Oryzias latipes: one gene and its partner. The protein of the gene in region 1 purifies or fractionates together with the protein of each later gene. This does not show direct contact. Links are inferred from orthologs where the notes say so. Each region holds a gene or a part of one and is shown on either strand. Other genes may lie near its edges.

Region 1 (3,824 bases):
CATGCAATGTTAAATGGTTTTCATGTACATGGTTTGTTATTTGTCTTCTCCCTCCTGTTTTTCACGTAGAAAAGTATCAATAAGAATACCGGATTGATGCCACATTGATAAGAGGAGTAGTATTGATCGAATCTTAACAATACCCATCCCTAGTTTTAAAAGCCCATCCATCCATTCATTCATTTTCAGATCCCAATGCATTCCTTTCAGGGTCAGTGGGTTGCTGGAGCCTATCCCAGCTGCTGTTGAGTGAAGGGGGGTTTATGCTGAGCAGGTCGTCAGTCTATTTCAGGTCCACACATTCACACTTGGGGACAATTTTGAATCACCAATTTATCTATGGATCATGTGTTTGGACAGAGGGACGGAGCTGGAGTCCCCGCAGAAATCCCACACGTGGACGAGGAGAGTATGCCAAGTCCAGCTGGAATTTCAAGCAGGGCGTTCTGCTGTGAGGCAAGAGAGCTAACCACGACACCCCCATGTAGCCTTAGCTTTAAAGGCCTTTTTACTGACAACCATGAACTTAAGGCCTGATCAAACCCTGTGGAGCAAACGTTTTGCCAGGCTGGGATTCAAAAACTGTTTTTTTCAGCTGCAGTCATTGAATGATGGTTATGAAGTGCAGGTCACTGAAACCCATCACCATAGAACACCAAATCTAAATCCTGATCGTGAATTACTCATTTGTTTACTAAACCAAAGTGGTCAGAATGATTCTTCTTGACTTTCCTGCTGCTCCCTTTAGTGGTCGCCACAGTGAATCAACAGCCTCCATCCATTTCTATCCACCCTCCCCCGACATCAACCCCCGTCATGTCCTCCATTACATCCATGAACCTTCTTTCTTTTCCCACATATCACTCCAGTCTTATCACCTTTTACCAACAGAACTACTGATCCTCCTCTCAACATGCCCACAGATCTCAATCTGTTTGCTGGCATCCACCTCCATAGCATCCATCATGAGCTGTTCCTCTGATAGATACTTTCCTGCCACTCCAGACTTCCATCGCATCTGTTGTCTTCTTTTGCCTGAAGCCATATTGTTGATCATAAATGTTCATGTCTGACTTCAGTCTAGTTTCCACTACTCCTAATAACTTCTTTATGCGACTCATCAGCTTATTCCTCTGTTTCCACAACTCAGAACGTCCCTCTTGTTTTTCAAAATACACTTTTACTCCATTCTTCAGGCATCATGTCACTCTTCAAGGTGGATAATCTCATCCATCGTCACGACAACGTTCATTGACAAACACACCCTTGGCAAATACCAAAAACTGAACTCAGAGTCCTCCCAACTGCATTAGAAGGATTAACCACAGAGGAGATAGATGGAGATGGGCAGCAGTAAGTGTGTGTGAAGAAGCTTTTTACATGAGCGACGTTGGGTGGTCGGTTGGCAGTCTGCACATCAGAGGCATTGGTGATGTTGCAGAGGGTTATCATGGCCGTACTCCATCCAGGAATGCCTTCAGGAACCGGTACACCTACAGAAAACAAATGAAAGGTGGAAAAGAAATTCAATCCTATGCAAGCGTTCTCAGAATAGAGCCACGCCATCACCAAAGGATTACATTTTCATCTATCCCTATAGAAGAGGGGCGTCACAATCACAACTATTAAAACAAATTCAATATGGCTTAAAATAAAGGGTTGTAGCTGTGACAAATCCTTAAAATCTTTTAGCAAATTTAGCAACAATTATGAACTTTCAGATTAAAAGGCCACTTTTGTGGTGTAATTCTGGCTTCTCCATTATAAATGCAAAAGTATTGTGTTGCTGTCGGTCACATGACTCACAAAACCTTATTTAAGTACTTAAACTCTATTGGGGGATCATATTTAATGGATTCAATGCATCATGTGCAGGGAAGGGAATCTCAGGGTGACTCTCGATACGACGTGATTCACCATACATGGATCACAATTTCATATTGCAATTATCAATGTTACCTTGATCATCTAATATACCACTATTATATAAACAAATATATCTTTATTTTCGATGAAACCTTTTTTTTAAACAATTTAAAACACAATATATGAATTTAACCATCCTTTGCAACAGTAAAATAAAATGATCAATAAATACTGCTGTGTCTTTGTAATAAAAACATACACTTAATGATAACTAATGAACAAAGCTCCAATTATGAACTAAAATGTATATCAAATAGCCTCAGTGGAATTAAAAATTCACAATGATGTACTTTAATTATTAATATGAACATTCAGACCCATATTTCGTCACACCCTAGTCTTGTGTGCTATTGTGTTTATAGATGACTTTATTAATCCCACGATGGGGAAATTTCATTTATCTGCAGCAGCAACAACGACATTCAGAAATAATATATATAATATAACATCAAAAAGGACATTCATATCAAATTATTAACAATTTTTATTAAAACTAATTAATAAAAATATTATTAGAACTATTATCAAAATGATTAAAATAATTATTAAAAAAAGAGAGCAATTATAATGTCAAGAAGATAGCATCCTTTGCTATTCATTTTCATTAAGTTATGAATGAATATCTGAAATAGATTTTACAAACATATGTATTTTTATCATCTCATCTTTGAAATCAATCATTCATGGAGGATCACAATACATCAAATATTTATCAATTGTACGATTTCCTGGTCATTGCAGGTTTGCGCTGCTTATTGGCTGTTGTACAACAGGTTTTACGGTTGCCATGGTGAATGAAGGATGTGGACTCAAAGAGCATGCCGTAAAAATCTAGATATTTTTCTTCCTGGAACTATTTATTCAGTAAAGCTTGCATTTTTGATGCATTGATTGCTTGCTCTCCATATGACTGACATGAACCCTTTTACACTGGAGCTCTGGTTCACATTCTTTCTACGTCTGTAACTCTACATCCGTTGACGCCATTAATACAATACCAACGGATTCCAAAGAGGAGAAAAATGCCACACCCTATGGTAATGAAGTGCTTCCGAGATCAACATAAATCAAGTAATTCTGTCATGGAGGAAAGCAGCCTTGCGTCATTTATTTGTGCAAAGCCGATATGAAAAGCCGCTTTTCTGGGCGTCAGAATCGGCTGATTCGCCTTCATCCCATAAACCAGGGGTCGGCAACCGGCGGCACCGGAGATGCATGCGGCTCTATCATCCCTGTGTAGCGGCTCTCCGTGGTTTGGTAAAATAACCACCATGTTCCAAGATTGCTGTGGTGCCTTCAACACCATCAGGTAGTGCGAGCGGGCAGGAGGAAGAGGGCAGCGTGAACGCGCGGAGGGGGCGTGTCTGAAGCTGTGAACGCCGACCAGAGTCTGTTATGGGATGGAAAGTTTTTCTGGAAAGACAGTCAGTGGGGATCTCGTAGGGGACAGATGTACATCAAAGAGCGTGTATTATTCGAGTGTCGCCTATGACATCTTTGAACATACAGACTGCAAGAGATCAAAGGTCAATTGGGCTTCCAACACCAATATACCCCAAAAAGCATTACTGTCAATCAAAATATTTATCTGAAACAAAAACATGTCATCTTCTAAATAGGTAAACTTGGGAAAAATTCATATATATGCTGAAAACACAAATACAGGATGGAAACAGTCATCAGAGGCGGGGCTTTACTGACCTTGCTGCGTGGACTGATTGATGGCAGCGGCGGCAGAGCCGGTCTTTGCAGTTGTTGCTCCTTCGCTCCCTGCTACAGAAGGCACAGTGGAACACAGGTTGATGAGGCCACTCCCCGCAGACGAAGCCAGATCCCTGATACCAGGTGGGCCGGTTCGCCGCCTGGCTGTGCCAGTTGAAACTGGAGCTGTGGGAGTG
Region 2 (4,426 bases), about 12 Mb from region 1:
GATCAGATGGAACATATGGTGGTAAGTGAGGTCCATGTCACTCAAAATCTTTCTCATTACTACAACCTGTGTAACTGATTGAGTTTACCCTGTGCTGACTGCTTTGTTATTTAAAAATTTAATAAAATACTGTAAAAAAATAAGTTTTTTCTTTTTCTTTTTAAGTAAAAAGAACATAAATTGTGTCTGAAACTAACTGAATGTTTGACAACTAGATATCTACTTAAGAAGCCTTTTCCAATCATTTTAATATGATTAAACGTGTAATTAAAAAAAACTCTGTAAATATTTATTCTAATTTGCATTCAGCTTCTGTAACACATAATTACTTTGGTTACAAAAACATTCACACTATTCAAATGATTATTTAAAAATCTCATCTTTAATTTACTATCCATTTAGCCTCATCATTTGCTTGTCATGTGCACGAGTGTGAATGTTACAACTCTGACCATCGGCCTCAAGCCTTTTAGAGTAATTGGGTCAATACTGGTTAGTGGTGTAAATGCACACCAGCGGAAAGGTCAAAACTTAATAAAGGACACTGGTATTGTGCAATGTCTCCAACTCAGTTGATGTCAGAAACCCTACTGACCTTTGAGATCTGATGCAAAAAAAGACAGGTGAATTCTTCAACAATCAGTGGTGCTGATAAGCTTCTGAGAACTTTTGGATCAGACTAAATTACTGATGTCACCGATATTACAAGTAAAGTACACTTAAAATGTCTTTCCCCTTTTTAAGCATCATAATATTCAATAAACCATTAGTGACATTACAAAAATATTTGTTTTTATACACATATACAAGTTTTCGATTTAGTCAGTGTTTAGTTTACATTTTCAAAAGCTTGAGAAGGTGTATTTTGTGTATATTCTGCAAGCGTTTAAAAAATCCCACTACAAAGATGAGGCAGAAAGCTGTTCCTTCCTCAGGAGTGGTTGGAATTTAAAAGTCAAATTTAAAAATATAATAATCTAACAACAGTGTACAATGTTTTTGTCAATAAAGTTTTTTTTGCAATTTGTTGTCCTGATGCTTTGAGGCATTTAAATTATACAACCAAAAATAGTAATGTATGGTCTCAGCCACCAGGGGGAGCTCACGGTTTGGTAAAGCGGTAACCGGGCACAGTTTGAAGGGACGGGGTTATGTTTATGTCCATTTCTTTTACCTCATGGCTTCACCTGGAGATACTCGTCGTGTCTTATCTAAGGAAGCCGGTCAGGCGGTGGATCGTTGCGGGCATGAAAAGCACGCTGAGTCCACGGATAACGATGTTCCATCCAGCCGCTGAAAGCCGACCTCTGGGGACTCTTCTCAAAGTTAACCCTTGCATGTACAGTATGTCTGCCTGATAGGCGATGAATAATGCCATGCCTGCTGTGTATGTGCGTGTGTGTATGCATTTGTGTGTGCGTCTTCGCCCGTGCGTACGTGCGTGTGAGAGAGAGAGAGAGAGAGAGAGAGAGAGAGAGAGAGCGAGACACAGAGAGAGAGAGAGAGAGAGACAGAGAGAGAGAGAGTCTAAAAGGGGACGCTTTAATTTGGTGGCAGAGAGGGGGCAGTTACGGCTATTTTTCTAAACTACCAAAGCCGTTGCGGATGAAATATAACATCTATTCCAGAGTTAGTCATTTATAATTGTAGAAATCCGACGACGGCAGGATCTTTGTCGCTAGAGAAGGTTTGCAGGGGCTGGAAACTGAACTGTTGACACTCCCACCCCCGAAAAGACTAGAATCCAGTTTCCGTCTTTTGGCTACTTCCTGGCCATTATTTTATTTACTAAATGCTGGTATCCCTCCGCAGGGTCAGAGAGTATTTTGAACAGAATGTAAAACGGTTTGCGCTCTGTTTTCTTGCATGTCGTGCTATCAACGTGTTTAAAATCTGACGGGTTTTTGAAGTGGCACCGTCCTGAGGAGTCACGAGGATTACTAGGTATTTGTTTGCTCAAGTTCTGTCAGTAGGTGGTGGATCTAGATTGTTAGGAGCCTGGAGGGGGATGTGGTTCGATGCCACTTATCATTAGATATGGCCATCGTTTTTAGACTACACCGAGGCGTCATCTTTCCCTTAATTTTGTCATAAATCGTGGGAATTTGGGGTTTTGCTCCGCGTGGCAGGCATAATGTTGTTTTTTGCAAACTAGTGTTTGCTTTCCCATATTTTTGGAGCCAGTTGTTACTGCGTGGCAGAGTGGTTACGAGAGTCTTCTAACTAGCCGCTTGGTCCCGCAGCTTGTCGCAGCTGAAGAAAATAGAACCAGTTGTTGCCAACCCAGCAGTCGGCATCCAACATTTGCTTTGCACAACGCTATACCTTTAAAAAGGATTGTGTTACATTGCTTTATTCCCGGGGCTCTTGCAGTGGCGTGTATTTCGGGGTTTCTTTGTGTGTCTGTGTTAATGATAAAAAAAAATTGCTGGCCATAGACTTGGGTGGCTAACGCCAACTAGCTATATAACCTGAACTCGTGCGACGACAGCTGTCATTGGAGAAAGGAAAGTGATCCCAACAAATGCGCCTGCCAGTGAAGCGGTTTTCTGTTGGATTTACATCAGCTGCTTTCCCGTCAAATGGGTAAAGTTTGGAATTACATTGCAACGCTGGAATACAATGCTATAGATGCGCTGTGCATTTTTGAGAAAGGCTGTGTTGTTTCATTGGAGAGAAGCTAGCTAGCCTTGTTAGCTTGCTAGCTAGCTGTGTGATAAAAGTGCGACGTTTTTATTCCCCAGTGTTTTTGGACATGAAGAGGATAATTCGCTGTCCATAGGGCCGGAAGGTAAGATAAAACCCTCACTTGCATTGTGTTTGTGTTGGCTATATTTACCCAGAATTCGCCTTTTCAAATGAGAGTCTGAGCCAACATTATCCTTCAGTCTGATGTTGGGGGAGGTTGTCGCCGCCTTGGCTTTCATGACTCAGACTGTTCAACGGAACGGAACATAAAACGGGACGGTTCATTATATTTTGCATAACGCCGACTTCGGAGGGCAAAAAATATATATATGGGCTTATTGTCGCGTTTATTTATTGCACAAGTCGGCCAATCGGCAGTTGTGTACAGCCGACATCAATTGTTAAAGGTAGACTGTAAACCAAAGCCTTGTATGTTGTGTAACGTATCATTCACTTTTTGTGAAGCATCGTTAGTTCCTCGAAACAGTTCCGCTGGATTGAACAGTCCGAACCTTTGTGTGTTGGACACCGATAAGTATTGGTGCTTTGATGATGATTAATACATATTTAGCGCCATCTTCCTAAAGTCGGTATTAACATCATGAGACATTATGTTTAGCATCTAACCCCAGCCTCCAGTTGCTGTGAGTTGCCAACTAACTACAGCCAGTGGTAACCTGTTTGCTTTGCGAGCCCCTTTAAGTCTCGCTAGTAGTAGTTGATGCCTTTGCCTTTGTACTGTATTGTTTGACGTAGGCATCAGCCTACTTTCAGTTTGACTAATTTTGACAATGCCTATGTTAGGTTCATCTGCCGCAGAAAAGGCGACATTGTTTAAAACAACACGCTAGCCCTCGCTAGCTTTTATGCAGCTGCTTTGTGCCCAAGCTTGGTTTGACAAAAGCTATCGGAAGGCATGTTTTCAATTGTACCCTGGTGGTCGTGACTGCTGCTTACCCAAGCCTTATATGACATGCACAGTCAGTTACATACATGTAATGTTACAAATCTCACAGATCTCCTCTTGTTTCCTCATTGAAAACCAGTGTGGCCCCATATATCCAGCAGAGCTTTTACTGACATGAAATAGAATTTTTTTTTCTTTCCATGTTAACCTTCTTTTGACAAGTGTTTCTAATGGATGTGACCGAGCAGACCTTGTAGTGGAGGCCAGAATTGACATAAATAAAGAAATTATTTAATCCTAGAGTGAATGAAGGGTTTTTGTTCCAGGAAATTACTAAAAACTGGGGTTTTTTGTAACCCATTTGGCCTCGAGCTGTTAAACATATCTACACAAACTATTACTTTTACTTCTACTGTTTTTTTTATTTTTATTTAACTGGAATCTTTTCTAACGCAGCTCTGATGAAAATACTAAATGGACACCTGCCAAAGCTACACAATTTTTTCCCATTAAAATAATTGTTTGCAAAATACCTTCAGGACCACAACAAAAAAGTGTGCCTTTTTACTTTAATAAAGCAAGAATATATACCTAAAATATTAAAATAGGTATATATAATTGCAGACAAGGATTGAATTCTTCTTTTTTTCTGTATGGTGACCATCATATAAAAACATGTTAGTTCTCATACTGTCACTTGGGAAGGAATCAGATCTTAAGGATGAAATCTGCTCATGTTGTTGCATCTTATTTAATTGACGAAATGTACTCTACGAATGATTGTATAATGGACACAGACCAATTTGAACCACAGGAAAAAAATCTTTAAAC

The links.
Region 2: the proteins of paxip1 (region 1) and histone-lysine N-methyltransferase 2C purify together in Homo sapiens (affinity purification with mass spectrometry; 4 studies listed by BioGRID and IntAct, with this or other methods). This does not show direct contact. The link is inferred for Oryzias latipes from reciprocal best matches to the Homo sapiens genes PAXIP1 and KMT2C.

Annotation. Positions count from the first base shown.
Region 1 is NC_019875.2:13,222,322-13,226,145, forward strand, and holds part of paxip1 (PAX-interacting protein 1), read right to left. Parts: coding exon 3,628-3,824; intron 1,494-3,627; coding exon 1,381-1,493; intron 1-1,380.
Region 2 is NC_019875.2:25,341,757-25,346,182, forward strand, and holds the start of histone-lysine N-methyltransferase 2C, read left to right. Parts: upstream 1-1,525; 5' UTR 1,526-1,944; exon of another isoform or gene 1,945-2,586; intron 2,587-2,744; 5' UTR 2,745-2,791; intron 2,792-4,426. UniProt on the Homo sapiens protein: Histone methyltransferase that catalyzes methyl group transfer from S-adenosyl-L-methionine to the epsilon-amino group of 'Lys-4' of histone H3 (H3K4).